Linked DNA regions of Elephas maximus indicus. The protein of the gene in region 4 interacts with the protein of the main gene of each other region in a pairwise test. Links are inferred from orthologs where the notes say so. Each region holds a gene or a part of one and is shown on either strand. Other genes may lie near its edges.

The links.
Region 1: the proteins of SDCBP2 (region 4) and FAM133A interact in binary tests that used the Homo sapiens proteins (3 or more experiments, as listed by UniProt). The two-hybrid records come from large-scale screens. The link is inferred for Elephas maximus indicus from reciprocal best matches to the Homo sapiens genes SDCBP2 and FAM133A.
Region 2: the proteins of SDCBP2 (region 4) and YTHDC1 interact in binary tests that used the Homo sapiens proteins (3 or more experiments, as listed by UniProt). The two-hybrid records come from large-scale screens. The link is inferred for Elephas maximus indicus from reciprocal best matches to the Homo sapiens genes SDCBP2 and YTHDC1.
Region 3: the proteins of SDCBP2 (region 4) and PRPF38A interact in binary tests that used the Homo sapiens proteins (3 or more experiments, as listed by UniProt). The two-hybrid records come from large-scale screens. The link is inferred for Elephas maximus indicus from reciprocal best matches to the Homo sapiens genes SDCBP2 and PRPF38A.

Annotation. Positions count from the first base shown.
Region 1 is NC_064846.1:66,543,134-66,550,587, forward strand, and holds the start of FAM133A (protein FAM133A), read right to left. Parts: upstream 3,267-7,454; 5' UTR 3,248-3,266; intron 1-3,247. Other genes in the region: NAP1L3 (nucleosome assembly protein 1-like 3), read left to right, coding at 4,740-6,158.
Region 2 is NC_064823.1:90,889,994-90,897,559, forward strand, and holds the start of YTHDC1 (YTH domain-containing protein 1), read right to left. Parts: upstream 3,341-7,566; 5' UTR 2,985-3,340; coding exon 2,957-2,984; intron 1-2,956. UniProt on the Homo sapiens protein: Regulator of alternative splicing that specifically recognizes and binds N6-methyladenosine (m6A)-containing RNAs.
Region 3 is NC_064821.1:95,523,645-95,531,774, reverse strand, and holds the start of PRPF38A (pre-mRNA-splicing factor 38A), read right to left. Parts: upstream 3,091-8,130; 5' UTR 3,031-3,090; coding exon 2,901-3,030; intron 1,195-2,900; coding exon 1,035-1,194; intron 1-1,034. UniProt on the Homo sapiens protein: Involved in pre-mRNA splicing as a component of the spliceosome.
Region 4 is NC_064843.1:39,399,058-39,407,021, forward strand, and holds the start of SDCBP2 (syntenin-2), read right to left. Parts: upstream 3,115-7,964; 5' UTR 3,057-3,114; intron 83-3,056; exon of another isoform or gene 1-82.

The DNA.
Region 1 (7,454 bases), on a different chromosome or scaffold from region 4:
AAAAATTAAATCCATTATATGAAGAAAAATTATTTTCTTTTAGAGACCTACCATTATAAAATTAAGTAAACTAATAAAACAAAAACAGCTACAAAAAATAAAAGCATGTTACTAGAGAGCCTAAAGCAGAACATGCACATGAAAAAATAGAGCATTGTAGTTGGACAAAGTCACCTATTTCCAACTATTTTCATTGTCTACAGCTAGAAAAAATAGTTCCAAATTGAATATCAGAATAGTTCAGTAAAATGTTATCTTTATATGTTTGTTTTATTTTTTTTTCTTCTTCCTGTCCTATTCCAAACTTTTCTAGTGTGAATGATAAAGTATTGTTCCTTGAAAATCATCCAAAAAAAAAAAAAACTCCAAGTAGATAACTTTAGAATGAAAGCTGTAGTTTAGTCACATTTGTCCAAGATTATCTAGTCAATTGGGATAAATTTTTAAGAAAAAAAAAATTGTCACTGTGACAGAGAGACCATTTTAGGGGGGCTACATTTCCTCAAATGTGTCAAAACAGAGATATTTTCTTGTAGTCATACTTGCCTTAAATCAAGGCCAAAATTATTTTGCTATTAGGATAGGATTTGGCCACCAATTAATTTCTTTTCTAATCCTGTAGAAAAACAAGCAAAGGGCATGGATAGACAATTCTCAAATAGACAATAAACACAGGAAAAGGCTTTTAATCTTACCACTAAGTTTTTGGGTAATGTAAGAATACAAATAAATAATAATGTGAAATTAATTTGGAGATGTTCATAAAAAAATGTGAATAGTAGTGATTACCTCATAGTATATTTTGGGCTACTTTTAATTTCTTCTTTGGATTTCAATGTTGTTGTTGTTGTGTGCTGTTAAGTCGATTCCAACTCATATCGACCTAGAGTTTCCAAGGCAGATTGCCACATCTTTCCCCTTGGGAGCAGCTGGTAGGTCTGAACTGCTGACCTTTTGGTTAACAGCTGAGTACTTTAATCACTGTCCCACCAGGGCTCCCTGGATTTCCATGTACTGCTTGATTTTTTTTTCAATAAGCCCATATCATATTCATAAAATACAAAATTATTTAAAAGCAAAATAAAATGGCTCATTAATTGTTTGCAGAAAAATTCTGGTCAATGGATCAAAATAGAGAATTCAGAAATAGACTCAAGCAATTTAGTTAATATGATAAAGGTGATATTTCAAATAAGGGGGGACAGAAAGATTATCAAATAAATGGTACTAAAAAAACTGGCTAATAAAAATAAATTTAAAAAAATGGATCACTAGCTTATTGCTTACTCCTAAACACTAATTCCTGATGGTACAAAACATTAAAGTACTATAAAAAAATAACAACACCCATTAACAAGATGCCCATTATTGTTAAAAGATGTTGATCATTTGACATGAAACTATATCCATTAATACATCCATAATTGATTAATAATCCATAATTAAATGAGTAGTTACAAAACATAATACATTGTTGTATACATAAACCAGTAAATGTAAATAGGTAGGTGTTTATATGCACAAAGAAATTTCTGGAAGAATATGTATCAAAATGCTAACAGTGCTTATTGTTCATTGGTCGTTAAGATTTATGTTTTTACACAACTTGACCAAGGTAAATGATGACACTAAGAAGTACAGAAGAATAAGGGACAATTTTGGTAAACGCCACGACGTATACAATTTTGCAACAACAGTAAAAATAACCAAAAAATATGTGTGTGGTTACATAGGTAGATACGTATGCTTATATATGTATAGGTAAGCACATATGAATATATCGGTGCGCATGTATAGGTATTTCTGTAGGCAAATGTATATATACGTTTGTGTGTGCTGCATATATATTCACATATAAAACAAAGCACGTTGGGGACACAGTTATGCATGCTTCCTAGACATAACCAAATACCTCGAGGAACTGAGTTACTGGGTTTGGCGAGTAGAGTCTGAGGTCTTAAAAGCTTGGCAGTGGCCATCTAAGATACAATTACAGTATGGTCTCTATGCATCTGGAGCAAAAAACAAAGAAGAAAACCAAAGACTCAAAGAAGAAACTAGTCTACAGGACTAATAGTCTACACGAGCCACAGCCTCACCTACCTTGGGACCAAGAGAACTAGATGGTGCCAGAAGAACTACCACTAACGACCACTCCCAACCAGGGACACAATAGATGGTCCCATATAGAGTATGAGAAAAATGTAGAACAAGACTCAAATTCCTAAAAAAGACCAGACTTACTGGACCAGTAGAGACTAGAGGAACCCCTGAGACTACCACCCTGGGATACCCTTTAAGTTTGGAACTCAAACCACTCCCAGTGGTGGCCTCTCAGCCAAAAGGCAGAGTGGCTCATAAAATAAATATCACCCGTGAGTACTGTGCTCCTCTAAACAATCATCTAAATGAGACCTAAAAGTCAACATTTACCTTAGACCAAAGATGAGAAGGGAGGGGGGACAGAAAAAGCTAATTAATGAAAACAGAACAACCAGAATGGAAATAGTGAGAATACTGACACATCGTGAAAAGTGTAACCAATATCACTGAATAGGAGCCCTGGTGGCACAGTGGTTCTGTTTGGCTGCTAACCACAAAGAACAACAGTTCAAATCTACCAGCCAGTCCTTGGAAACCCTATGGGGTGGATAGCTATGGGCAGGAATTGACTTGACGGCAATGGGTTTTGAAATAATATGTACAAAAACTGTTAAAGGAAAACCTAATTTGCTATGTAAATTTTCTCCAAAAACACAGTAAAATATATTTTTTAAAGGTTTGTGTTTTTACTATCACTGCAATTTTCTATACTGGATTTTTTTCTTTGTAATGGTCATATGCTTTGAAGATCAGAAATAAACAATAAAAGTTAATTCATTCACAAATTAGAAAATAAAAGCGTCCCCATAACTTCTGAATTATAAAGCACAAATCCTATAACAAAAAATACAAAGGTTAGTATAATTTTAATATTTCTCCTCATTCGAAATGAATAGTTTAGTATATTTTGTATTTTTATTTACTTATATTCTATGCCCACGTTTAGATAGTGAATATGGTTAAGGGTAATTTTCTACACTAGTATGCCAAATCACCACTATTTAATTTAGATTTTTCTGTTGCCATAGAAATATCAAGCCATCTTCCAATTCAGTCTTTAAAAGACTATATGCTCTGAATTTTTATTCAAATACAGATGGGTAATTCTTGTCATTCATAAATATGGGCTAAATATGTTCCTTACCTTTCAATGAAAAGTAAACAGTTCTTTTTAGTTGTACCAAGGGAGCTGTTCTGTAGCAGAAAATAATCCTGTAAATAGAAATAAGAGATACCTGTTTTTAAACTTCAGTTTGCAAGTTTATTCACATATTACTGGATATGTAAATTATAATCTGGCATGGCTAGAACTTTACAATGTTAGAAGAAAACTGGTGGTAGATGACACTGTAAAGTATACCCTGATAGAAGATGCACCTTCATTAGCACAAATCCCCTCTTCCATCCTGCTACTCGTGAAACTGAAACCTGCTGCACACAAGCATAAAGTAAACCTTTTGCTTTTTAGTAGTACTACCTGACATTTGAATACCCCTTTGTTTTATCTCCAAGGTTGTTGCAAGCTTTGAGAAGTGCTACCCGTGGCAAGTCAGCAGCAAGGTTGGGATATTATTACATGCCAGCTTTAACAGAAAAAAAAAATACAGTAAAAACGGTGTAACTGACTCACGGCATCATGGGTGCACAAACCTTGTAGCTGGATATAAACCAGGCTTGCCAAACATCACAACAGCACTTATTAAAACTGCTACGTGGAATGCAATATGCCTGCTATCTAGCCCCTCCCCCCTTTGCCAATAAGCGACTCCCCCCCCTTTTTATCAGTATACAAATACATGCTCATAAAACATTTATAATATAGAAAAACGCAAAGTAAAGAGCTGTTTAAAAAATCATCCACAGTCACGCTACCCAATGATGCCATTTGGAGTATTTTCTTCCAGTCAAAAAAAATTTAAACAGATTTTTGTCAGGAGGCCCGTGAAAAACCAAACGTAATTTCAGGTTGGTTGGATGGAGAGAAGGACACGTCTCTCCCCTTGTTAGGAACTATGGCTGATTGATATTTTTACCCCATGTCTAAGCTTTTTTTTCTGAATTATAAAACTATAAAGACAGCGTTTTGAGGAGGGAAAGAAAAGTCTTGCAAATAATATGTGCCTCAACCACCTAGGAGCGTCTGGGAAGGTGGGCGGAGCCGGGTGGGAAAAACGTTGGGTTTGGTCATTCATTGGGTCTAGAATTTGTCAATCAAGGTTTCCCAGCAAATGAAGTGCGAAATAAAGGCACACCGGGAACGAAATTAACGGGAGATCTGGCTGCAAAGGGAGGGGGCTTGAGATCGGAACCGAGAAGAGATCTTGGGGTCTCATTCTGCGCCATTCGGCTGCGGCACCGCCTCCGTCCACCGCAGCTGCAGCCAGGAGAGGCCTTGCCACCGCCGCTGTCGCCCAGGCCTCCTCCCCTGTCGCTGACACCTCATCGGGGGTCACTGCAGCCCCCGCCCCGCCTACCCGAGCGCTCCTGCTGCTGCCATCGCTGCTGCCACTTCCACAGCTCGGGCCTTCGCCGCTACCGCCGCCGCCGCCCAAGCATCCGTGAGTCATTTTCTACCCATCTCTGGGCGCGCGGTCTCTGCAGTAGTCGCCACCTTAAGAGGTTTGCAGCCTTGCAACATGGCGGACACCTGTTTAAAAAAGGTATCGGAACCTGCCGCCCAGGGGGTTGCTGAAGAGGTGATGGCTAGCTCGTCAAGAGATCCTGGGGAAGAATCTGACAGCAGCAGCACTAGTTGCAGCAGCACTAGTTGCAGCAGCAGCAGTAGCCACAGTCGCTCACATAAGAAGAAGAGGGTACCTGGGCCTTCCAGAAGGGTGCGGGGGGCTCGGTCGGGTAACCATTTCGTGGATAGGCTGCCGCAGGCAGTTAGAAATCGCGTGCAGGCACTCAAAAATATTCAGGATGAATGTGACAAGGTAGACGCCCTGTTCTTAAGGGCAATTCATGATCTTGAAAGAAAATATGCTGAACTCAATAAGCCTCTATGTGATAGGCGATTTCAAATCATCAATGCAGAATATGAACCTACAGAAGAAGAATGTGAATGGAATTCAGACGATGAAGTGTTCAGCAGTGATGAGGAGGTGGAGGATGACACCCCTAGTGAAATGCCTGCCCTAGAGGATGAAGAAGAAGATGAAGACCCTAAAGAAAAGCCTGAGGTAAAGGCTGAAGAAAAAGAAGTTCATAAAGAAATTCCTGAGGCAAAGACTGAAGAAAAAGTAGATTCTAAAGATATTCTGGAGGCAGAGCCTGCTGTCAAAGACGATCCTAATGAAGTCCCCCAGGCAAAGGCAGAAGAAAAAGAACAGCCTAAAGCAACAGAGGCAAAGGCAAGGACTGCAGTAAAAGAGGCTCCTAAAAGAGTTCCTGAGACAAGGCCTAAAGAAAGAATTAATCTTAAAAGAGCTCGTAGGGGAAAGCCTAAAAAAGAAGATCCTAAGGGCATTCCTGACTATTGGTTGACTGTTTTAAAGAATGTTGACAAGCTCGGGCCTATGATTCAGAAGTACGATGAGCCCATTCTGAAGTTCTTGTCAGATGTTAGCCTGAAGTTCTCAAAGCCTGGCCAGCCTATAAGTTACACATTTGAATTTCATTTTCTACCCAATCCCTACTTCAGAAATGAGGTGCTGACAAAGACATACATAATAAGGTCAAAACCAGATCACAGTGATCCCTTTTTCTCTTGGGGATGGGAAATTGAAGATTGCAAAGGCTGTAAGATCAATTGGAGAAGAGGAAAGGATGTTACCGTGAGAACTACCCGCAGACGTACAACTGCTACTGGAGAAGTTGAAATCCAGCCAAGACTGGTTCCCAATGCATCATTCTTCAATTTCTTCAGTCCTCCTGAGATTCCCCAAATCGGAAAGCTGGAACCACAAGAAGATGCTATCCTTGATGAGGACTTTGCAATTGGTCAAATTTTACATGATAATGTCATCCTGAAATCAATCTATTACTATACAGGAGAGGCCAGTGGTAGTTTTGAAGATGGTAAAGATTATGGAAACAGGAAATACCAAAAATAAAAATAAGGCTGTCAGATTGTTCAAGAACCACAAAACTTCAAGAAGAAGTGAAGCAGGTTTATATAGCCTTGGGAAAAAAAAAAACCTGCTCTATATCCTGAACATTAGTATTCCTTACAGTTGTGTTTTCGTATTTTCTTGGTAGTCTATTTAAAAATTGTCCAAAAAAGTGTCTAAGTATTTTGCTTATTCTATTTAGCCTGTTGTAGTTTAATATTCTTCAAAATATATAGACTGCTATCAGTTATCTAGAGCATGTTAGTTTGGTGCTACAGAGTATTGATTTTTGTGAAGTCCTTTTGTCATATTTCTGTTAGATTTCAGCTGTGAAAACTCAGAATTGTTAACTGAGAAATATTTGCTTGGAAAAAAAAGTTCCTGAAGCACCAATGCAAGTGTTTTTTTTTTTTTTTTTTTTTCTTCTGCCTGGAAGACTAAGGGTTTAAGTCTGCTTGTACTACTTGTGTCTTCATTACTTTGCGGTAGAAATACAGTGCTTATACTAAATAGAACAGTGCATTGTAAAACCTGACTGTTTGAAAAAAGATTAGCATACATTTAGGAATGCCCATCAATACCATATATAATATGACTGTGAGCTTGTTTATGTGACATAACGGTCTGCGAATAAATTGAATCATAATGAAATCATTGTTTTCCACTGACTGTTAATATAACATGTTTTTAAAAGTTTCCTCATAGTGTGTAATTGTAAAGTTACTGAACACATTTTCTTTGTAATATGTTCTACTTTGCCTTTCACTGAAAATGATCACTTTACATCATTTGATACTTTTTCATGTTCTTTTATTGCAACCTAAAATAAATAAATGTGAAATAAAGTGTTTCATGTTATAAAAATCTAGCATTTTCTCCTAATTATGAAAATGTGCTGGTTAGCATAGAAAAATTTGGAAAATACTGAGGAAAAGAAAAATAAAAAAAAAAGATGATTATTAACATTCTGATGTATTTCCCACATCTTAGATCTTTTATTGGAGGATATATATTCAAGTAATTGGAGAAGTATTGGACAGGATAGGAGGAAGGTGAGAGTGAGGAGGGGAGGGGTGGAAAAAGAAGAGAGGGAGGGAAGAAGAGAGGGAGTGGAGGACAAGGGGAAGAGGGCAATGGGAGAAGGGAGGGGAAGGCAAAGGTAGCAGGGTGGAGGAGAAGGGAGAAGAAGAGATGGAGGGTGGAGAGAGTGGCAGGGAGGGGAGTGAAAGGGGTGGCAGAGGATGGAACTGGGACATTTGTCATTTTCACTTCCACATATATTTTCCTTCAAGACCTTCC
Region 2 (7,566 bases), on a different chromosome or scaffold from region 4:
TCCTTATTTGTAAAGTAGGTTATTCCAGAACTCTTCCCATTTCAAATTTAAATAAACAATCCTGGCAGAAGTTGGGCAACTGACTAACTTACTAGTATGTGATATCACTACCTTCCAGCAACAGTTATTAAGTTTGCATATTTGGACTGCAATTTCATCGCTAAACCCATTTCTGAAATCAAAGATTTTTAAAACACCATCTGCCTTCCCTCCTCAGTGTGCATTACTGTACCTATTAACAGTTGATAAGTCTGTCCACCTTAACAGACAAAGAATGCTTGATGAGTACTGAGTTTTACTCATCCCGTATTTGGTTTATCTTACCCTACCACAACCACTGCCCACTCCCATTTACACCCATAAATTGTATTCAGCTCATAAATCATATTCTCACACATTAAATGTTGACTGAATTCTTACTGACTAAAATCACCTACTTTAATAATGGATTCTTCTAGTAATTGAAAACAGTCTCCATCACTTACCATGCAATCTTATTTTCACATTTCTTCTTGGTTTTTAAATTTCACCAACAAAGGGAGTGTGAATTTTTAAAAGATTTAGCTTAAAATAAAGTGCCACAACCTAATCAATGGAGTATTTTAAGACAGGGGCAATATTTTAATCATATTTCCACCAACTCCACTACCCAAGCGGCCAGCAGTACCAGCAGTCATTCAATGAGTATCAGTTAAATGAATGAATAAGTCTAGCACAGAGAACTGCAAAACAATAATCTCCCAAGAGCAACTTTTGGATTTCATGGAATACAGCAAAATAAAATAACAAAGAACCTAAATAAATTGGAGACAGACACAGAGTATCAGGGTTGCCAACTTTTACCTTACTAGAAAGATTGATAAGAAATTAAATACCATCTACATATATCTACAATTCATAGAATGGCACTGACACTTCACTTCTAATGAGGATCAACTCTCTGCTTTACTTTTCTCTTTTCAATCTCCAATCTAAGATATTTGTTATATGAATTTACACCTATCATCTTTCCTAGTATAACATAAAGAGAGAACACTGGAAAGATACTGTGGACAAGTTTATAAAATCTGCTAAAGGAATTTAGTCTTTGATTGAAGAATCGGATTTGAGAACAAGACAAACAATAAATCAGTGTTCTGTAAAGATAACTCTGCAGCAGTGGACCAGGCATGTGCTAGGGATGAGCAAAATAAGTCAGGAAGCCAAGCAGAGACATTTGTAGTTATCCAGGCATGGAGAGATTCAAGACTGAGCAAGGGTGCCAAAACAGAAAGATATAGGGCAGAAACTATGATTTTATGAACTGTTATATGTGGGCACTGCTCATTAACTCATTTAATCCCATGACTACCTGCCCTAGTATCCCCATTTTATAGGCAAAAAAATTATGGCTCACAAAAACTAGGTAATTTGCTCTAGGTTCCAACTAGGACTTGAATCAAGATTTGCCTGACTCCAACATCCTTATTCTTTTGATCACGAACTATTCATATTTTAAAATAACGGAATCTCTAAAGAGCCATGTGAAAGGAAAGAGCCTTACAGGAGATTTCATATATACAGAAAAGAGAAGTATTACTGTCATTTTATCCTATCTAGCAAAAATATACAAAATGTTATTATGCATACACTGTAGGGGGACACTTGGAAAGATGATCTGATTTGGTCTGGAGAGTGAGTCAGTTTTTGTTTTTGATATGTATTTGAAGGAAGGCAAACACACTATAGTCAAAGGCAAAAAAAAAAACAAAAAACACCCAGATTCAAGGAGTGAGATTATTTACTGCACAAGGAAAACAGGGGCAGAGAAACAAAGACAGCATTCAGATAAGTAAATAAACTATCTTCGACAACTGAGAGACTGCACTTTAGGAACCATTTACTGTTACATGATCACTGAAGCACGAAGACTTTCCTAATGTAGGAACAAGAAAAATCAAAGAGGATCACAGGCCTAATACAACTGACTCTGAAGTCAATTTTTAAAAGCCCCCACACCAAATAATTAGCCACACAATAGACACAGACCACCACCTGTGCCACATTTTCATCAATTATAACCTTTCCAAGACTATCATAGTAATCTTAAAAGTTGAAAAAGACCTTAAGGTTACCAACTAATCCAGACCCGTCTCCAAACAGGTATTGATTCAGGATCTACATTAACACTTTCAGGGTCTGGGAGCTCGGTATATCAAAAAAAAAATTCTATTCTGGCAGTATCAGTTCTTCCTATATTTCACTGAAATTTTATCCCCCGAATTCTCCATAACTTCCACCCATTTGTTCCTAACTGTGCCCTCTCAGAGATACGCACAATGTGTTTCTATCAAAGTAATGTCCAGGATTTCCTGACCAGCCCTAATCCTAATTATCTTTTTTAAAAAACCCTATTTCCCAAAATAAGCGCTCGAAGAACAGAACGTGCAGTTCATGCCACTCTGCTTATTTAACAGAACACCCAGAAGTTAGTTGTAGACACTTCTCAGGATTAATAATCCACTTGTACGACTTCTTATACGTGCTCATTTACTAAACTACCGGTTTTGATCATAGCATAAGGGATTTTCGAAATTCAGCCTAACAGAAAGCGTTGTTCTGAATCTACGCATTATATCCGCATAATCCTACCAGGAAATAAACCTAGAGGCCTGCAACTTCTAATAGGCCAGCTAAATCTCCTTCAGCCCCTCCCAGGACAGCTAAATAGAAAATGAAGAGGGGAATCTGGATCAAAGAAAACCCCTAGGCGGGATGGAAAGTTAGGCCACACGAAGACCGAGGACGAAAGGTTAGGCCTATTACTTTCCATCGAGTCCCAGTATCTGGGTGCGGCGACTGGTTCCGCGCGAGGCAGGTTAACCTCCCCAACCCCCACCTCCGCCCCGCAACGACCAAGGCCCCATCTTCCCACTCCCGAGTCCCGCCTCCGCCCGTCACCTTTCTCCTCACTAACCTTTCTCCTCCCGGCTGTCGGCCGCCATTGCTCCCCTCCTGTTTCCGCTGCTGCTGCCGCCGCCACCGCCGCTTCGACGCGACTCGCGCGGGCGCCGCAGCCGCGGCAACAGTAGCACGGGCCCGTCCGTCAGTCCGTCCGCCGGGCCGCGCGCTTCGCACCTTGGCCTCTCCCACTCACCCTTCTCGACTCACCCTTTTTCTCCCCTTTCCCCCTTTCTCCTCTCACGCCAGGCTCCTGTGGCCTAGACCCAGCCTTCCCGATAGGGCTTGGGGACGGGAGGGGGAAAAGAGGAGGGAAAGGAAACAGATGGCGACGGCGGGCGGCGCTAAAATGGAGCCTGCTTCCTGCGTGAAACAATCCCGCTCCCGAAATGCCCTTCGCTGTTTACGCTTCGTTCCTGTCTGGGAACGTCACAGTGCGGAGAGGGGCGGAGCGGCGAGACGGGGAAGGGAAGTAGCGGGACGTCACCACGTCGCCCCGCCCCCCGCAGCCCCGTCGTCTTCGTAAAGAGTCTTATTGCGGGGGCTTAGGTTAGCCAGGTTGAGGGCCGTGTTCACCGCTCAGTTGCGTAGCTTCTCAACCGAAACGCATAGTGGAGGCTGTGGCGCTGTAACGTGTCCGTTTTGTCGTCCCAAATCGTCCCGCAGTACTCCCAATTTAGTGCTGGAAATCAGAATCCTGTTTAGAACAAGTCCAGGCTGGCTCCTCTGAAGCCACCACTTTTTCTGTGTATGAGATGTTTTTCTTAAGGCCCCCAGGTTTACCCAAAGGCATCGCAGGGAATGCAGCTCTCTTGCCAAAAAATCATAGTTTTTGTTTGTTTTTAAATTGGGGGAAGGAATTATACCGTATTTTAATATAACTTTGTTAATGCACATAACAAATTTGTATTAATCATTTACGCCCTGAGGTACACAGTTGATTAAACAGACCATTGAGGAATCGAAACTACAAAAGTGGCTGAAAATTACATAGCTACATAATGTAGTAAAATCTATGAAAGAAATTATGAGTTCAAAGGAGTGAAAATATAATTTGGCTTCACTGCAAAGTAAGTTCACAAGGTAAAGAAAATTTGAAAAAGAGGTAACATTATGATATAATGACTAATACCATGTTCAGAGTCCTTGGGTGTTGAACACAGTTAAGTACTCAACTACTAAGTAAAAGATTGGTGGTTCAAACCCACCAAGAGGTACCCTGGAAGAAAGGCCTGGCTGTCTACTTCCAGAAGGTCACAGCTTTGAAAACCCTGTGGACAGGGATTCTGATCTGATACACATGGAGTCACCGTGAGTCGGAATCATCTAGACTAACTGCTTCCAAAAACCACTGGTTCAGCTTGGTTTAGTTTCACGTTCACAAAAGGACAAGCAGTCCACAGTTTGTTATTACTTGATGCCCAATATAAAGAATTATGACCAATCTAAGGGAACAGTGGTGGTTCAGTGGTAGAATTCTTGCCTTCCAGGCAGGAGACAGGTTTGATTCCTGGCCAATGCACCTCACGTGCAGACATCACCTGCCTGTCAGTAGAGGCTTGTGTGTCGACATGATACGGAACAGGTTTCAGAGGAGCTTCCAGACTAAGATGGACAAGGAAGAAAGGCATGCTGATCTGCTTCCAAATATCAGCCAATGGATTACAATGATCTGATCCTGTTCTGCACTAGGTTACCATGAGTTGGGGGCCGACCCAATGGTAGCTAACAACAATCTTTCGTATCCTTGTAAATGGGAATTGAAAACTTATTCTCAAAGAGTTACTGTAATGTTTTCCAAGGATTAGAAAAATTCAATTAAGTGTTCAATGTTGTTATTGTTAGATACCGTCCAGTTGGTTCTGACTCAGTGACCTTTTGTACAACTGAACGAAACACTGCCAGCTCTTGTGCCATCCTCACAATCTTTGCTATGCTTGAGTTCATTGTTGCAGCCACTGTGTTCATCTATCTCCTTGAGGGTCTTCCTCTTTTTCGCTGACCCTCTACTTTACCAAGCATGATGTCCTTCTCCAGGGATTGGTCCCTCCTGATAATGTGTCCAAAGTACATGCCTGAGATGAAGTCTTAATCATTGTCAACTTCAAGGAGTGCTCTGGCTGTATTTCTTCCAAGACAGACTTGTTCATTCTGGCAGTACATGGTATATTCAATATTCATTGCCAATACTGTAATTCAAAGACATTAATTCTTCTTCAGTCTTCCTTATTCATAGTGCAGCTTTCACATGCATATGAGGCAAATGAAAATATCATGGCTTTTTTGGGGGGTCAGGCACACCTTAACCCTCAGGACAACATCTTTGCTTTTCAACACTTTAAAGAGGGCAAATTTGCCCAATGCAATCGTAGTTTGATTTCTTGACTTCTTCTATGGTTGTTGATTGTGGATCCAAGTAAAATGATATCCTTGGCAGCTTCCATCTTTTCTTCGTTTATCATGATGCTGCTTATTGATTCAGTTGTGGGATTTTTGTTTTCTTTAAGTTTGGGTGTAATCCATACTGACCTTTGATCTTCATCACTAAATACTTCAAGTCCTCTTCGCTTTCTGCAGCTAGGTCGTGTCATCTGCATATCAGAGGTGTTGAATCTTCCTCCAATCCTCAAACAAATAGTGCTGGAACAATTAGATATCCATTGGAAATAAATGACCATGAACTCTACCTAACACCATATGCAAAAAATTAATTCAAAATGGATCATAAACCTAAATATAAAAGAACAACTATAAAGCTTCTACAACAAAAGATGAGAGAAAATCTTCAACACTTTAAAGTAGGCGAAGATTTCTTATATAAGATGTAAAAATCATTAACCATAAAATAAATTGATAAAATTGGATTTCATTAAAGTTAAAAGCATCATCTCAATCAATCAATCAAATAATAAGGGAAGTCACTGACTGGGAAAACATATTCACAAAACATTTGTCTGACAAAGGATTTCTAGAATATAAATAAAGGTCCTGCACCTCAATATTAAGAAAACAAACATTCCATTTTAAAAGAAATAGCCAAAATAGTTAAACAGGTATTTTAACCACAGAAGATACGTAAATAGGCAATTACCATGTGACAACAATGCTCAACATCATCAGGAATTTAAACCACAATGAAGTGATTAAAGAAGATTAGAAATACCAAATGTTGGCAAGAATATGGAGCAGTTGGAATGCTCATCTATTGCTGGTGGGAATGTAAAATGGTACGACCACTTTGGAAAATCGTTTGGCAGCTACGTATGAAGCTAACATACACTTGTCATGTTGTTGTTGTTAGGTGTCATTGAATCATTTCTGATTCATAGCAACCCTATCAAGAACAGGATGAAATACCACCCGTCCTGCGCTATCCTCACAATCGTTGCTGTGCTTGGCCTTTGCCGTGGTAACTCTTAGGAAGTAAACTCTCTTAATTCATAGCTAGCCCCTGCATCCCTTCAGAGTTACACAGGAATTTCTAGACCTCTTCCACACAATGGAAAACCAAGGGACACTCTCTTAGGCTCTATCGGCCTAAACATGTTGTTGTTGCTGTTACATGCCATAATTAAAAAAAACTCAAACCAGTTGCCTTTGATTCCATTCTGACTCGTAGTGACTCCATGTGTACAGAGTAAAACTGCTCCATAGGGTTTTCAAAGCTGTGACCTTTCAGAAGCAGATCACTAGGCCTTTCTTCCCAGGCAATTCTGGGAAGTAGTTGAGTGCTTAACTGTCTGCACCAGCCAGGGACTCCCATATTGATGATTACTGTTGTTGTTAGGTGCCATCAAGGTGGTTCTGACTTATACCCACCCTATATACAACGGAACGAAACACTGCCTGGTCCTGTGCCATCCTCACAACCATTGCTATGCTTGAACCCATCATTGCATCCACTGTGTCAATCCATCTCAATGAGTGTCTTCCTTTCTTTTACTGACCCTCTACTCTACCAAGCATGATGTCCTTCTGCAAGGACTGATCTCTCCTGAAAACATGTCCAAAGTACGTGAGATGAAATCTCACCATTCTTGCTTCTAAGGAACATTCTGGCTGACGATTACTACTACATATGAATTGTTTTTGCAGAGTCACCATTAATCGTAGTTTGATGATAAACCTGAAGAAGGCTAAGATCATGTACCAGTATAATGCTACATTACTTTCACTAAGCTGCGTGAACTAAGTGACAGTCTTAAGAAATTTGCTTTTTCCCGTTTTATTCCCTTTGCAATCACTTTGGGTACAATGTCTAATATCTCTGACTTTTTTTTTAATGACTTGGCTAAAACAAGTTCTGTACATATATATTTAGGCTCAGTTATCTACCTCACAAATGGATGTGTGACTTGGTCTTCAGAAAGACAGGATGAGTGCATGGCTGCACGTTTAGAAGAAAGTAACAAATCATGTGGACGAAGGGGCATTAGCATCATTTTTGCACACAGAAAATAGCATGCTTTATAGATGCAAGCAATGATGTCAGTGATCCAGTACTAAAGAAAAAGTGTTTTATTCCTTTAGAGGGAAAATAACATCATATCGGTCAGTTCCCGATCAATTGTGTCTATTATACAAAGTATCTAATATGTATAGTATCTACTGGAAACCCTGATGGTG
Region 3 (8,130 bases), on a different chromosome or scaffold from region 4:
TATTCCATTTGTTTCTTAAATAAGCAGAATAATACAGCAAAAGACACAGACTCTGAAGCAACTTTGCCACTTACTAGCTGTTTGGCCTTGGGTATATTACTTAAACTCTCTGTGCCTCAGTTTCCTCATCTGTAAAATAGGGATAACATTTATTGACAGGGCTGTTGTGAGGGCTAAATGAATTATTATTATATGTTGTGAGGGTAAAAGCCCTTAGAGGATGGCATGTAATAAGCTATGATTTCTGTCTCATATAGTAGTCTGTAAGCTCCTTGATGATGAATGATAAACAATTACAGCAGCTGACATTTCCTGGGTGTTTATCCCGTAAGAGATGCTGTGTTGAGTGGTTTACATGCATTATCTTCTTTAAAATCAATCTTACAAGTAGGTATTGTTATCCGAATTTTACAGATAAAGAAAATAAAACCAAAACCAAACCAAACCCAGTGCTGTCGAGTCGATTCCGACTCATAGCGACCCCATAGGACAGAGTAGAACTGCCCCATAGAGTTTTCAAGGAGCGCCTGGCAGATTCGAACTGCTGACCCTTTGGTTAGCAGCCGTAGCACTTAACCACTACGCCACCAGGGTTTCCAAAGAAAATAAAGCTTAGAAAATTACGTCAACTTCTTTGAGGTCACAGTTAATTAGAGATAAAGTCTAGATAAAAATTCAGACCTGTCTAACACCATGGTTTTCTCTCTTATCTACCATACTATGTTGTTTTCTTCACCCTAAAGTATCCAGTGCCTACCAACACATTAGATCCTCACTGCTGCTTAATGTATGTTCAGTGAATTGGTAAAGAAATCCTCTTTTTTGGGGGAGAAGTTACCAAGATTAAGAAAGTAAAGGAGAATATCAATTCAATCAGAACAGGCAAAACACAAACCCAAGGACTCAAGAGCAAAACCCTGGAGCGGAAGTCTCTGTGGAAATGAGAGATACTATGTTCATTCCTCTTAACCAAAGTCCAATTCTGGGATGTCCAAAACGATGCTTTTGTATTAGCCAGTCAACATCACACTCACTTGAAATCTTCATTTTTGATAAACTCTACAATGATATCCTTCTCGGGTTGAATCTGCAGCATCTTCAAGGTCAAACACAGAAAGGGAGTTGGCTTTATGTTGCCGCCATAAACGCCACCCACAAACCTTAACTCCATGGCTTTATCAACTACAAGTTCAGCTAAAAAAAGAAAAACAAAAACAAATCAAGTGCCATCTCAGATACTTCAGGGTTAAGCTTATCCTGGTGTGAAGTGGAAAGAAGTCAGTTCACGTGTTGGTGCTCCAGAACACTCACCAACAGTTTAGTATTAGGAGAGCAAGTGCATATTAATAACAATAATAACACCAAAACCAAACTAAACCTGGTGCCGCTGAGTCAATTCCGACTCATAGCGATTCTACAGAACAGAGCAGAACTGCCCCACAGGGTTTCCAAGGAGCAGCTGGTGGCTTCTAACTGCTGACTTTTTGGTTAGCAGCCATAGCTGTTAACCACTGTGCCACCAGAGCTCCATAAAAATAACAATAGTAGCATCTAATTGAGGGCTTACTATATGCCCAGTGCTCTGCTAAGCATTTCATATTATCTCATTTAATCTTCACAGCAAACCATGACCTAAGTTCTAGCATTGTTCTCTACTTTTAGATAAGGAAACTCAGGCCTAAGAAAGGTTAAGTGACTTGCTCCAGGCCCAGAGCCAAAAAGTTACAGGGCCTGGATTTAAATCTAAGCGGTCTAACTTCAGAGTCCACGCTCATCACCATCATGCTAGGGAAAAAATTGCTGGATTAAAAATTAAAAAAAAAAAAAAAACTCAATAGCTACACAACCTCGAGTAAGTCTCTCCCACAGAATGGCAATAATAACCTCCCAACACTGTTGCCAATACTCAAACAATAGCGGTGTGATCTTAGGCCAGTCATTTTATCTCTCTTTGAGTCTGTCAGCTCAACTGGGTTGTAGTGAGGATTGAATGCGATAATATACATAAAACGCTAAGTACCTACGTGAGGCAGCTCAGCTCCTAACAAAAAGACCGATTTTTCTGAAAAGCATAACCACTTCCCTTCCCAACAGAGCCCTAGTGGCGCAGTGGTTAACCAAAAGGTTTAACGGTTCAAACCCAGCAGCCGTTCGGCAGGCCAAAGATGTGACAGTCTGCTTCCATAAAATTTACAGCCTTGGAAACGCTATGGGGCAGTTCTACTCTGTCCTAGGGTCGCTATGAGTCAGAATTGACTGGATGGCAGTGGGTTTTTTTCCTTCCCAACGCTAGGTTAGGTTCCCTTGTCGTACATTTCTATTGCGTTCTGCTGCTTCTTTCAAACTACTCATCATACTTTCGTTTTTCATACTTCCTGCCTTGCTAAGTTATAAACTCATTAATAGTATTGACTGTGTCTGTCTTGTTCATCCATATACCTGTATCTCTAGTACTCAGCACAGTGCCTAGCTATAAATTGTTTAGCTATAATGCTGAATATATTAATACAGAATTTATCCTAAAGAACTTGCAGTCTGATTTCTTAAGCGATAGCTCGTTAATGGTTAAAAAAAAAAAAAAAAAAAAGCTCCGTGGCCGTCAAGTCGATTCTGACTCATAACAACCCTATAGGGCAGAGTAGAACTGCCCCTCATAGGGTTTCCTAGGCTGAAATCTTTACGGAGCAGATCGCCAGATCTTTTCTCCCGCTGAGCGGCTGATGGGTTCGAACTTGTCGCTTAACCATTGCTCCACCAGGGCTCCTTTTCATGACACACTCCTCTCCAATCCTACCCACCAACACTGAGCCAGTCTTGCCCCCAGGGGCCAATCCCATTCAGCGCCCAGCCAGGGGGGGTGGGCCACAAGCAGCCGAGGCGGTGCGCGCGCTCCCGCTCACCTGTAAGTCCAAAACATTCCTCTTTCCAGTACTTGGACTCATAAATTCGCGTCCGAATGATCTTCTCCACAAGATATTGAGGGTTGGTGCCGTGGATGCTGTGTGCATCCTTCACCGTACGGTTCGCCATCTTAGAAAGCCTTCAGCTCTATTTCCGTCGGGTCCTTTAATACGTCACATCCAGGTTAAAAAAAAAAAAAAAAAAACTCGATGGGGATGGAAAAATCACTAACTCTCCGAGGCGACCATTTTGAAACCGGAAACTCTGATGTGGAAGGAACTAACTTCCGTGAACAGAAACCCCGCCCAAACCAATGATGGCTGCTGCACGTCGGCAGACGTACGTCATGCGTCCAATCTACGTAGGCGGGACGGGAGAGCTGGTTGGTGTCGTAACACGGAGACAGCCTGGGGGCGGGACTACGTCGTTTGGCGCGAAATTCTCTTTTCTCCACCTTCTTCTTGCCGTCCTTAGCGAGGCATCGGCTTTGCCGGTGGCGTTCGGCTTGGTCGCGATCCTCGTGGCTGTAAGAGGAGGCGTCCAGCTGGGGCAATTTAGAGTTGCTGCAGCACCAGGAGCTCCTGAAGCGGAGGCGGGGGGAAGCAGAGGGCTTGCGCCCAGCCTGAGGAAGCTTCGGTCTCCGGGTGAGTCTGCGGGCTGGAGGCAGACCTGAGCCGCTAGAACTGAGGGTGTTCTCTACAGACTCACATATTCACTAATTCATTCAGCAGACATTTACTAAGCCCCCGTTAAGTGCCAGGCACCTTTCTAACCCCGGCAAAAGGCGTCTTTTTCCCCATCCCAACTCCTAAAATGCTTCCTGCTGCGCCAGGGACTGAGAATTGGCACTGGGGAAGCCGGAAGCCTACAGCAGCGCCCTCGGACTCTCAGCAATGCTCGGAACTGTTCCTTCCGTCTATGTTGCCCCTTGTGATGCACTCGCATCTGTTTCCTGCTTTGAGCCTCAGTGTTGCACTACAGGGAAGGCGGAACAGCAAAAGTTATTACCCCATTTTATGGATGTAGCGATTTTGCCCAGACAAAAACATTTTTAAGTCTGGGTCGCTTTTAGTACCCAGGTCTTTTCTGGATTAGTTGCTCTTTACTGCTGGGCTCTAATTCACATTTTTTTTTTCCAGAAGAAAATTTTAATGGCGCTTTTCCCAATTATTCTAGGCTGATCCCGGAATAGAGGGCAAAACGCGTCAGCTGGAAAAAAAGCATTGTTTTCTTCTGGGCTACTATCTGTGAAACGCAGTGATTGGATATGTTAATTTTATCTTGTCTGTAAAAAAATGACCTTTGTTTGTTTTGTTGGGTGCTTGTGAGTGCCAGTGGAGGTTTTGGATGTGCGAGCATAGTTAGCCAAACCCCTCTGCAACAGCTTTTAACTGTAACAGAGGACAGTATTGGGACTTTAAAAGGTTTATGAATCCCCTTAAATGGAATGCAAAATTTTGTGTTAACTGTATGTGAGTTCTGTAACACTCATGATATTATTAAAACAAAAAAAAAAACCATTGCCTCTTACAAATAAATGGAAGGGGGATTAAGGGAGTGGGGGAGTGAATTTATCATTATGCATTTCACTTAATCTTCAACAATCGTAGAATAGTTCCTGGCACACAGTGGGTGTTTAAAAATTTATCCTCATTTTGTGGGTAAAGAAATTGAGATTCAGTTGGCCACTCGATGGGTTAGGAAACCTAACTTATTATAATAAACATACCAAAAGTGAGCTCTCATTGGCATGTGTTATTGACATTATCCAGTTTCTCAGTAAGGAGAAGTGGTTAAGAGCATAGTCACTGGAATCTGGATGTTCAGAGTGTCAGTTAAGGCTCTGTCATTCTGTATAACATTGGATACCTTGGAAGTGATAATAGCAGCTACCTTTCATTCAGCAAATATTTATTATTGAGCACCAACAGTGCACTTACTGTGTACCAGCATTGTTCTAGGGTTATTGTGAGGATTAAATGAGATAAATGTGTCAAGAGCTTTGGCCCAGCCTTCTGTCATATTGGTGAAATAAATATCTGCTATCATTGTTTTTTGGAGCCCTGGTGGCACAGTGGTTAAGAGCTTGGCTGCTAAACAAAAGGTGGGTAGTTCAAATCCACCAGCTGCTCCTTGGAAACCCTATGGGGCAGTTCTACTTTGTCCTAAAGTGGAGAGTTATAGAAAAAAAGGGAGACCCCTCGAGGAGATGGATTGACACAATGGCTGCAACAGTGAGCTTAAGCATAGCAACGATTGTCAGATGGCACAGGACTGGCAGTGCTTCGTTCTGTTGTGCAGAGGGTTGCTATGAGTTAGATCTGACTCAACGGGGCAATGGGTTTGGTTTTAGGTATCATTGTTTTTACTGCAACTCAATGATCTGTTTTTCTTGGGTGTGGCCTCTGGACTGAGTGGTGTGTGTCTTCCAGATTTCCAGTATCTGTGACATCCAGAGCCTGTAGTGGGTTATCTTATAGAAGCCAAAGCCTTTTGCATGGCCAAGTCAGGCCTGTCTTCCTATTCCATCCACCATCCCTCTTGGGGAATGTCTGTGCTGAGATGAAATGCTGGATTGGTCTAAGAGTGGGGTACAAGAGGCTCTGATTTCCTTATGCTGCTTCTTCAGAAGAACTACTAACGTTTGAGCTTTTCACTGAAGAATAAGGTATATTCGGGGAAGTGCACAAATCATAAATGTAGAGGGTAATGTATTTTCTCAAAGAGAATATACCCACGGATCCAACATCCAGATCAAGCAACGACATTACCAGCATCCCAGAAGTCGCCTTGCCATGTCTCCTTTCAGTTACCTAGGTTATCCTCTCTTCTCACTTCTAACAACACAGATGACTTTTGTCTGTTTTTGTGCTTTACGTAAACAAAACCAATATAGTTTGTATTCTTTTCGTGTCTTATTTCTTAAGCTCAACTATATTTCCCGAGGTTTCCCCCACATAGTTGCATGGAGTTGTAGTTGCTTCAATTTCATGGCTGTATAATGCTGCTAGGAATATTCTTGTCTATGCCTTTTGATGATATGTGTGTATTCTTGTTGGGTATATCCCTTGGAATGGAACAGCTGAATCGCAGGTGATGCGTATGTTCAGCTTTAGTAGATGCTGCTAGTTTCCAAAGTGATTGTACCAATACCCACTTCTTCCAGCAGGGCATGAGAGTTCCGGCTGCTCTATGTCCTTCATTCCTGATGCTTGGCCTCCTGATGATTTTAAAAACCAGTTCATTTCATTCAGTCAGTCTTTTACCTACTACGTGCCAGGTCCTGACCTAGGCCCTGGGAATGCAGTCATGACTTAAGATAGGGTCTCTGCTCCTTTGGAAGTTACATTCTAATGTGGGAAGCAGAGAAAATAGCATAATGGTTATTGCTTTGATGAAAAGTAAAATAAGGTTGTATAATGGAACATGATCCCCGGGGGATAGCATAAAGAGGGGCAGTGCGTAACATTCGATCGGGTGTCAGCAAAGACCTCTCTGAGGAAGTGACATTGGAGCTGAAACTTGAGCCATCCCTGCAAAGACGTGTAGGAAGAGATGATAGCAACTGCAGAAATCTGAGAGGAGTAACAACCTTGGTCTTTTTGAGGTTTGGAAAGGAGGCCTGAAGCTGAGTGACAGGCAGAGGTGGAGGCAGGTTCTACAGTCCAGTTAGCCTCCCTTCGTCACCTGCTCAGCCTAGGGACAATCACCCACCCTTTCACACATACACCCATATACTGGCTGGTCTCATTGCACACAGCCCATGGTCTACTAGAAAATGAATATTGCCTTAGTTTTTGGAAGAGGACACCTGCTGTGGTAAACTGCAATATAACCTGGATTTAAAACAGTTGAGAACATGAATTTGAGTACTTTATAAGTATGGAGGAAACCCTGGTGGTGTAGTGGTTAAGTGCTACAGCTGCTAACCAAAGGGTCAGCAGTTCAAATCCGCCAGGTGTTCCTTGGAAACTCTATGGGGCAGTTGTACTCTGTCCTATAGGGTCGCTATGAGTCGGAATCGACTCAACAGCACTGGGGTTTTTTTTTTTTTTTTTGGTATAGGTATGGAGACAAGCTTTCTGTATGCCCGTTTGTTGGTTTGAAATAAGATCACTGTGACAGTGAAATCAGACTGTCCTACAATTAGATTATTTAAGAATTGTAGAAAGTTTGCTGGGAAATACTAATTTGCTACAAAACACTCTCCGATTTTCCCATTTTAACGAGAGATCTTAGTGGGTACTGCAATTTACTTGAATCGTTTGTGTCTCGTAGCATATTTGGCTTGATTTCACTGTGGAAAAGGTGAAGAGTTCCAGTTTACTTCTGATCGTTCCATGTTACATGATCCATTAAACCAAACCCATTGCCGTTGAGTCGATTCCAACTCATAGTGACCCTATAAGTTATGTATTTCCTTGAACAATTATTCAGATTCAAGTACTTTTACTAATTGTTACCAAAAGATTATTGGATATTATGCATCCAAATTCATTTGTTACTTGAGCACAAGTATTCTGTTTTTACTCATCAATCTGTTATTTCTACAGTGTACTTAATTAAAATTAGCTTGGTTTTAATAGAAGTGTGTTGTAATTATACTGTACATAAATGTACATAATAACAATCGTTCATACATCTTCTGTGAGTCAAGGTTCTCAAAAATAATGTGAGACATAATGCCACTGAACTTTAGGAAACCAGCTTGTTTAGTTAGGATGTTGATAGGCTGTTCTAACTCTGTCGTTTTCAACACAGACTGGTGTTAATGGACTTTCTATAGGAATTCAGAATAATTCTTTGAGTTTTTTTTTTCAACCCCAGTTTTGCCAGATTTTAGCTCCATAAGAAAAACACTGAATTCAGAGGAAAGGTTTTTTGTTTTTTGTTTTTTTTTAGTTATTTAAGCTTAAGATAATGGGCCAGAATTATTATTAGATCTAGTAGATTTCAGTTTCCAAATTATAAAGATGATTATCCGATAGGTTTTCATTCACGTTTCTGTTTTTAACACTAAAAATGTCCTTTTTTCCATATACTTTAATGCAAGTATTTCGTTTCAGCTGTTTACAATACTCATATCCAGGACCTGTCAGCTGCAAAGGAAAATACTGTCCAACTGCCAGAGCAGTACAGGTTAGTGACCCTGATTTTTTTTTTTTTTAATATAAGTGGGAAGATACACTTGATAAAATCCATTGTCATTCTCCCAAAAGCAGCTTACGT
Region 4 (7,964 bases):
GCCAGGTGTTGCCGCACGTCCTCTGTCCTCCAGCAACTGCTGAGAGTATTCTTCCCCCCAGCAAGGTGGTGGCTCTTGTTGTCCCAGCTGGAGTTCCTGCTGGCTAATTGCTAGCTAAGAGCAGGGTGGTGCCCGCCCCTGATCAGCTGACTCATGGTAGAATGGCTGGCCACCCAGGAAAGGCAGAAGGGGTTTGACCTTTCTCTCAATTTGGAGGTGGGGTTAGTGCACGTAGCTATTGCTGAGACAGGTATGTACCAAGACTTCTTGGTCTTTTTTTTTTTTCGTGTGTTTTTAGTGAAAGTTTACACAGAAATTAGGTTCTCATTTAACAGTTTCTATACATATTGTTCAGTGACGTTTGTTATATTCTTCACAATAGATCAGCATCCTCATTTCCATTTTGCTTGTCATGTTTCCATTAATCTAGCCGCCCTGCCCCTCCCTTTGCCTTCTCATCTTGGTCCGGGTAAATGTTCACCATGTGGTTTCATCTAAACGATTGTTTTGAGAAGCACAGTACACATCGGTGATATTACGTATTTTATGGGCCAGTCTGTCATTTGAGTGAAAGATGACTTTTGGGAGTGGTTTGAGTTCCAAGTTTAAAGGGCATTTCTGGGTGATCCTCTCGAGGGTTCATCTATATCAATCCTTTCCATCTTGATTTTTTTTTTTTTTTAATGTAAGTGTTGTTTTCTTGAGGAGATCCAGACTTGAGTTGAAGACCAGTCTTGCTGAGAGTGGGGAAGGTGGTTAGGTGACAGGTATCCAGGGGTCTTTAAAGTGACCGTAACATGTGACCTGGCATTTCTTCTTCCACAAACCCATCTCCATGTTCCCTATAGTAGAAAAAAATCTGGAAATCCCAAACATCCATCACCAGGGTCCAGTTAAAGAAGTCATTATCTAGGACAATCCCACAGCTGTTAAAGTTGTTTAAGGAAGAAGCCTTGAGGAGATGTTCCCGAGTACTGTTAACTGACTGAAGAGTCCGTACTGGGAGTCTGGCCTTGTGTTTTGTTTTCCTTTTTTGAAAAGCGGATGTGCACTGAAACCAGTCTGGGGGAGTCTGCTGTAAAATGCTGAGGCAGTGGGGTTGTCGGTGGGGTTTCCAGTTTGTACTTTTGTGTGTGTTCCCAAGTGGTGGTGGTGTTGAAGTTAATTTGTGTATTGCTTTGATTGCTTATCATTTTTGTAATGAGTAGGGGGAGAAATTAAACTGGACTGCTTTTTAAAGGAATTTAGATTGCTTCTCTCCAGGGAGGCAACCTAAGGGGCTGTGTACTGGCGTAAGGAGATTTTTTATAGCACACTTTCTCAAATTTTGAAAAATAAAAAATTTGAATATATTATTTATCCCACAAATAGTTCCATAAAATTAACCAGAAAAGGGAGAGGGATTTCATTTAGACCCTGGTGGGGTGGGTTAGATAAGGTGCCTGTCACACTTGGTGCCTTGGGGAGGGACTAGGGAAACGTATGCTGGTCAGTCCTGTGAGGAGTGACACAGGCCACCCGCCCAGGGTGGGGTAAGTTTCAGGGCTGTTCACCTGGCTGGGCCTGGCAGGCCCACGTCACTGTCCCCATGACGAGCTTGGGCAGAATTACACTCGCCTGGGGCGTCAGATCCTGACCGGGGCCCAGCTGGTTGTCAGCCCCATGGAGGAGGGACACTGTCTTTGCTCTGAGGAGCTCACAGCTGAGAGCCCCACACACGAAACAACAGGAGCCACGACACACAACAGGAGGTTGCCACTAGCAGCACCGACTGCCCACAGAGCACCATGAGCCTGCCGGCAGCAGCTTTAAAGGTACCATCCCTGCCAAGTAGGTGTGATTAGCACCAGTCCTACAGGTGGAGAAACTGAGGCACAGAGAGGCAAAGTCCCTCTCTCAAGTTACACAGCTGGAAAATGGCCCCAAGGCCATGTTTTGTCTGCTGTGAGACAGATGCTACTTCCAAAAGCTGAGGCACGGGACACGCCTGAGGGACAAAGGCAAATGGGCCTGAAGCCTGAGGTAGGTCCAGGGCTTCGAACTGGTTCATTTTGGTTCAAATCCCTGCTGAGAATTTGCATTCCCACCGTAGATATACTGAATGAGAATCTACATTTTAGCAAGATCCCCAGGTGATTTTTACGTATAATAAATTTTGAGAACCGCTGCTCTACTAGTGGTTCTCAGAGTTGGTCCCTAGCCAGCAGCGTTAGCATTGCCTAGAAACTTATTAGAAATGCAAATTCTCAGCAGGGGTTCTGACTGGAAGGAACTGGTTTGAAGCCCTGGGTAGACCATGGGTGATGGACCCACCTTAGGCCAAGTCTCCAAGGCCAAAGCAAAGAAGGAAATAGAGAACCTAATGGAACCAAGTGGCCCCCTTGCCCCATCTCAGTTCATAGAGCCATGGGCTGGAAGGGCCTTTAGAGAAAATGGAGAAGGAAATGTAGGCCCAGAGGGGATAAGGGACTTGCCTGTGGAACTGACCCAAGTCCCCCAACTCTCACCTACATGCCAGGGCTATCTTTCTATTCTGTGGTTTTTATAGCTACGGCCCATCTCTTTGACTTCTCTCATCACTCCAGCCACCAAGAAACATCTTTCATTGCACATGCCCTTGCTCAGAAGTCTTTAATGGCTCCCTACTGCTTCAGGGCCAATACTAAACTCCTAGACCTGACCTTTGAGGCCTCTGTGGTCCACCCCTTTATTACCTCTTCAACCTTGTCCCTCTAACATCTCTACCCCTGCCAGGCCAGAGTCCTCCCTACTCCTACCCCACCTCGTACCCACAGCACACGCATTCCTGACTCCACCTTTGCCTGGGCTGCTGCCTCCCCTGAGGTGCGTTTCCTCATCCCTACCCCACCAAGTCCACTGGGCTCCCCTTCCAAGGAGCCTCCTTGATCATTCCCATCCATGGGACCTCTCCCGCTTCTGTGTTCTGGATCAGACTGTCCCATTCCTTTCTTTGATACAGCCATCTTGTATTGTTCATGTGTACATTAGGCTAATTGTTACACCCTAAGTTCCTTAAAAAAAAAAAAGTTCCTTACCATCCAAAAAAAACCCAGTTGCCATTGAGTCAATTCCAACTCATGGTGACCCCATGTGTGTACACAGAGCTGCGCTCCGTAGGGATTTCAGTGGCTGAGACCTTTTGGAAGCGGATCACCAGGCCTTTCTTCCGAGTGCTTCTGGGTAGGTTAGAACCTTCATTGGAACCTTCAACCTTTTGGTTAGTAGTCAAGCGCTTAACCATTTGTACCACCCAGGGACGTCTATAGTGGCTAAAAAAAAAAAAAAAAAAATTTTTTTTTTTTTTTAGCCTATTTCCAAAATAAAAATTGGAGCCCGTGCTCTGGGCAGGACATATTCTGCTTTGTTACTTATCTGTGGAACAGCCTTCAAAAGTCTAAAACATGAGTGGCCACCATACAACATACACTCAGAAACTCCCTAACAGCACCCATGACAGACCTGAGTATCCACCCAACATTACTTGCTGCTGGGCCCTGAGGTGGCCCAGAATCCTCTCACAATAATGCCACAGGCAGCTGCTGCCACCTGGAGTCAGCCCGTGCTATGAAATCTCTGTGCCATCTCGAATGGTTCCCCCCAGCAGGGCAGGGCCTTGGGTTTACCATGTATCCCTAGGACCTAGATCCGTGACCGGCACATGTAGGCTCTCAGTAATGTCTATTGAATGAATGCCTCTGCTAGAAGAGTCCATCATAGTTATAAATGTAATGGATAGCTGCCACTGAGTTGGCTTCGACTCCTGGCCACTCTGTGTACAACAGATAAGTAACAAAGCAGTAACAGAGCAAAATTGTGCCTGGTCCTGCATCATCTTCACAGTCATTGGCAAGTTTAAGGCCATCGTTGCAGCTACTGTGCCAATCCATCTCACCGAGGGTCTCCCCCACCCTTGCTGGTCCTCTACATCACCCAACATGATGTCCTCCTCCAGTGATTGATCCCTCCTGATGACATGTCCAAAGTAAGCTCACCCTTATGTAAAAGCTGGGCTAGGCTGTGGTGGTAGGCAGAGCAGAGTTCCAGATCTGTGACATTCCACAAGTTTGGGAACCTCTCTGAGCTTCAGTTTCCAGACCTCCACAGGGGACGGCTGCTACCTGATGTACGGGCTTGTCCTGGAGGTTAAACGAATGAATCACGTAAAGCACCTAAGACACAGCTGGTGCTCGATAATGTTTCTGACGTCCTCATACTATCAGTCTTGGCTACAAGTTACAGAAACGCAATTCATCTGTTTGATGTGAAAGTGGGGGTGCTCTTACCGGAAGAAGGTGGAATGGCTGCTGAGCAGAGAGACACCAGCTATACACTCCAACCCCCTGCGTGGAACCTGGACCAGGAGCAAGTCCAGGGCTGTGTCAGACAGCTGCATCCGGACCACAGGATAATAACAGGAAGAGCCCCATTTATCGGGCCCCTGATGCCTGCTGGGCTCTGCGGGGCAATGGGCACAGCCTGACCCGTCTGTTGTTCCCAGCTGGCCCTGGAATCAGACAGAAGCATCTTGCCCGAGTCCACACAGCCCCGGAGTGGTAGAGCCGACCTGGCTGTGGACTGATCGGAGTGTCTGGGCTCTCGGACTCTTTCCCATCCCCCTCTAGCGGAGTCCCAGAGATTTCCCAGGGTGGCAGCGAAGGCCCTGATGAGCCAAAATCAGAAGCCAGGGAGCTGGGACCCCACACTCCCACAGACTCATGTCCCTGGCCCGGAAGCACAGGCACTCGCCAGAGACCCCATACCATAAGAGGACTTTGTGCCACCCCATAGTATCCCAAAGCAATATTCTGAAGGGGAGGCAGCGTAGAGCCTGGGCTGCGGAGTCTCACCTGCCTGGGCCCAAATCCCCACACATAGGCCATGTGACCTTGGGCAAGCGACTTTCCTGCCCTGGGCCTCAGTTTCCTCACCTGTGAAAGGAGGAAAGTAATTTCACCTGGATCATGGGAATACTCACTAAATGTGAACTATTATTCTTACAACGGGCATTGTTCAAGTGGCAAAAAAAATCTGTTACTGCTGTGATCCAAGAGCAAACGGATAGAAATCGCCTGCTCCTTTCTGGGACGTACATCCTAGTTGGGCTGTTCCTGAGGGAGTCTGTAAATCTCCCAGCCACAGAGATGCTGCCCTGAGGAGAGACCCCCGTGATGTAGTGGTCATCAGCCAGCCCCTCACCACCTCCGTCCTCCTCCCCCTCGGAGCCTGTGCTTCTCCAGGTGTGGTTGTCCCGGCCGCCTGCAGCAGAGGCCCCTGGGGGACATGCTAAAAATGCAGATTCAGGGTCCCACCCTACACTTGTTGTATCCAGCTGTCTGGGAGTGGGGCCCAAGAACCTGCATTTGACTTGCCTCTGCAAATGATTCTGATGCAAACTGCAGTGTGAGAACAACTGCCCAGCTCCTCCTTCCAGACCCACTTTCTTGAATCAAATGCCTGCAAGGTGCTAGGCATGGGGCAAGAGGCTTTCCTCGTTTACCTTGTTTAATACTCAAAACATACCCAAAAGATGGTTGTGTTATCCCATGGGACAGATGAGAAACTGAGGCTCAAAGACTTAAGCTCTGTGTCCAAGATCACGCAGCTGGTAACCCATGGAAGCGGGATTCGAACCCAGAACCTGCCTGCTTTCTCCTGTGCAAATGTGTAATCTCCCCTAAATGTGGCCTGTGCCCCCCTCATTAGTCCAAGGCCTGGGTCTAGTTTTGGAATTCCGTGGTGAAAGTTGGTTGCTCCAGCCAGAATTTTTGGTCACGGGCATGGAGAAGCATGTAAACACCTGGGAGCAATGTGGGGTGAGAGGTCATCAGTTCAGAGGACACCCCTACAAGGAGTGTCTCAGCATCCAGGCCTGGGGAGGGTTCAGCCAGGGTTTGTGGCTGTGGGTCACTCAAGCAGGGAGCCCCCAGAGCCTGGGAGAGTCAGACAACCTGGCCTGGAGGCTTGGAGGCCCAGGTAGACACTGGTCATCCTGCTGACGCTCCAGGCTCTGGTCATGGCCTGCAGAGCTCTGTCCCAGGTGGCTCCAGGCCCTCCAGAATGGGTTGGGTCTCTGCCTGATTGGGTCATGGCTTCCTGCAAAGATTGGGCTGTGATTGGTGGAGCATGGGTCATGTGTGCAGGCCCTCACTGCAAAGCATGCTGGTAAAGCGAGCATTTGGCTTTAAGGGCTACTCTACTGGGAGCCTCTGGTGGAGGATTCCCCAGACATGAGAAGCGGGTTCAAAAACAGAGCAGCCAGTAAGAGTGGCAAATGTCCACTCTGACCAGGAATGGGTGGTGGAAGACCAGTTGCTGAGGGCCTACTATGTGCCAGGCATGGCCCCAGGTGATTGACATCTGTTAGTTTCAATCCCTACCTACAATAATAATGCCCAGTTTACAGATGAGAAAGCCGAGGCCCAGGGTCACACTGACAGTGAGTGGTAGGTTACAGAGTTGAACCCCAACCTGTCAGACTCCGGAGCCAGAGTTCCTGGCCACCATGACACACTTCACTGCACTTAGTTCCGGTGACTGGGACTTGCCCACACCACCAGACAGGCCACTTTCCTGTCCCCTGCCTCCTGCACACCTCCCAGGACAGAGCAGAACGACCTCTCAGGGCCCCGGGAGAGAAGCAGGGCAGCTATTATTACCACATTTTATAGAAGAAGCTGAAGTTCAGAGCGGGGAGGGACTTGTCTGGGGCTGGGATCTTCCCCTCCCCCCAGCTTCTCTCACCCACCCACCTGCTCTGCACCCCAATCTTGGCTGCTCTTTTTTTTTTTTAAATAATTTTTATTGTGCTTTAAGTGAAAGTTTACAAATCAAGTCATTCTGTCACATATAAGCTTATACACACCTTACTACATACTCCCATTTACTCTCCCCCTAATGAGTCTTTAATGAGTCAGCCCGCTCCCTTCTTCCAGTCTCTCCTTTCGTGACCGTTTTGCCAGTTTCTAACCCTCTCTACCATCCCATCTCCCCTTCAGACAGGAGATGCCAATACAGTCTCAAGTGTCCACCTGATACAAGTAGCTCACTCTTCATCAGCATCTCTCTCCAGCCCATTGTCCAGTCCCTTCCATGTCTGATGAGTTGTCTTCGGGAATGGTTCCTGTTCTGGGCCAGCAGAAGGTTTGGGGACCATGACTGCCGGGATTCTTCTAGTCTCAGTCAGACCATTAAGTCTGGTCTTTTTATGAGAATTTGGGGTCTATCCCACTGTTCTCCTGCTCCCTCAGGGGTTCTCTGTTGTGTCCCTGTCAGGGCAGTCATCAGTTGTAGCCGGGCACCATCTAGTTCTTCTGGTCTCATGATGATGTAAGTCTCTAGTTCATGTGGCCCTTTCTGTCTTGGGCTCGTAGTTATTGTGTGACCTTGGTGTTCTTCATTCTCCTTTGATCCAGATGGGTTGATACCAATTGATGCATCTTAGATGGCCGCTTGTTAGCATTTAAGACCTCAGATGCCACACTTCAAAGTGGGATGCAGAATGTTTTCATAATAGAGTTTATTATGCCAATTGACTTAGAAATCCCCTTAGGCCATAGTCCCCAAACCCCCGCCCTTGCTCCGCTGACCTTTGAAGCATTCAGTTTATCCCGGAAACTTCTTTGCTTTTGGTCCAGTCCAGTTGAGCTGACCTTCCCTGTATTGAATATTGTCCTTCCCTTCACCTAAAGTAGTTCTTATCTACTAACTAATCAGTAAATAACCCTCTCCCACCCTCCCTCCCTCCCCCGTCTCGTAACCGCAAAAGAATGTGTTCTTCTCAGTTTATACTCTTTCTCAAGAACTTATAATAGTGGTCTTATACAGTATTTGTCCTTTTGCATCTGACTAATTTCACTCAGCATAATGCCTTCCAGGTTCCTCCATGTTATGAAATGTTTCACAGATTCGTCACTGTTCTTTATCGATGCGTAGTATTCCATTGG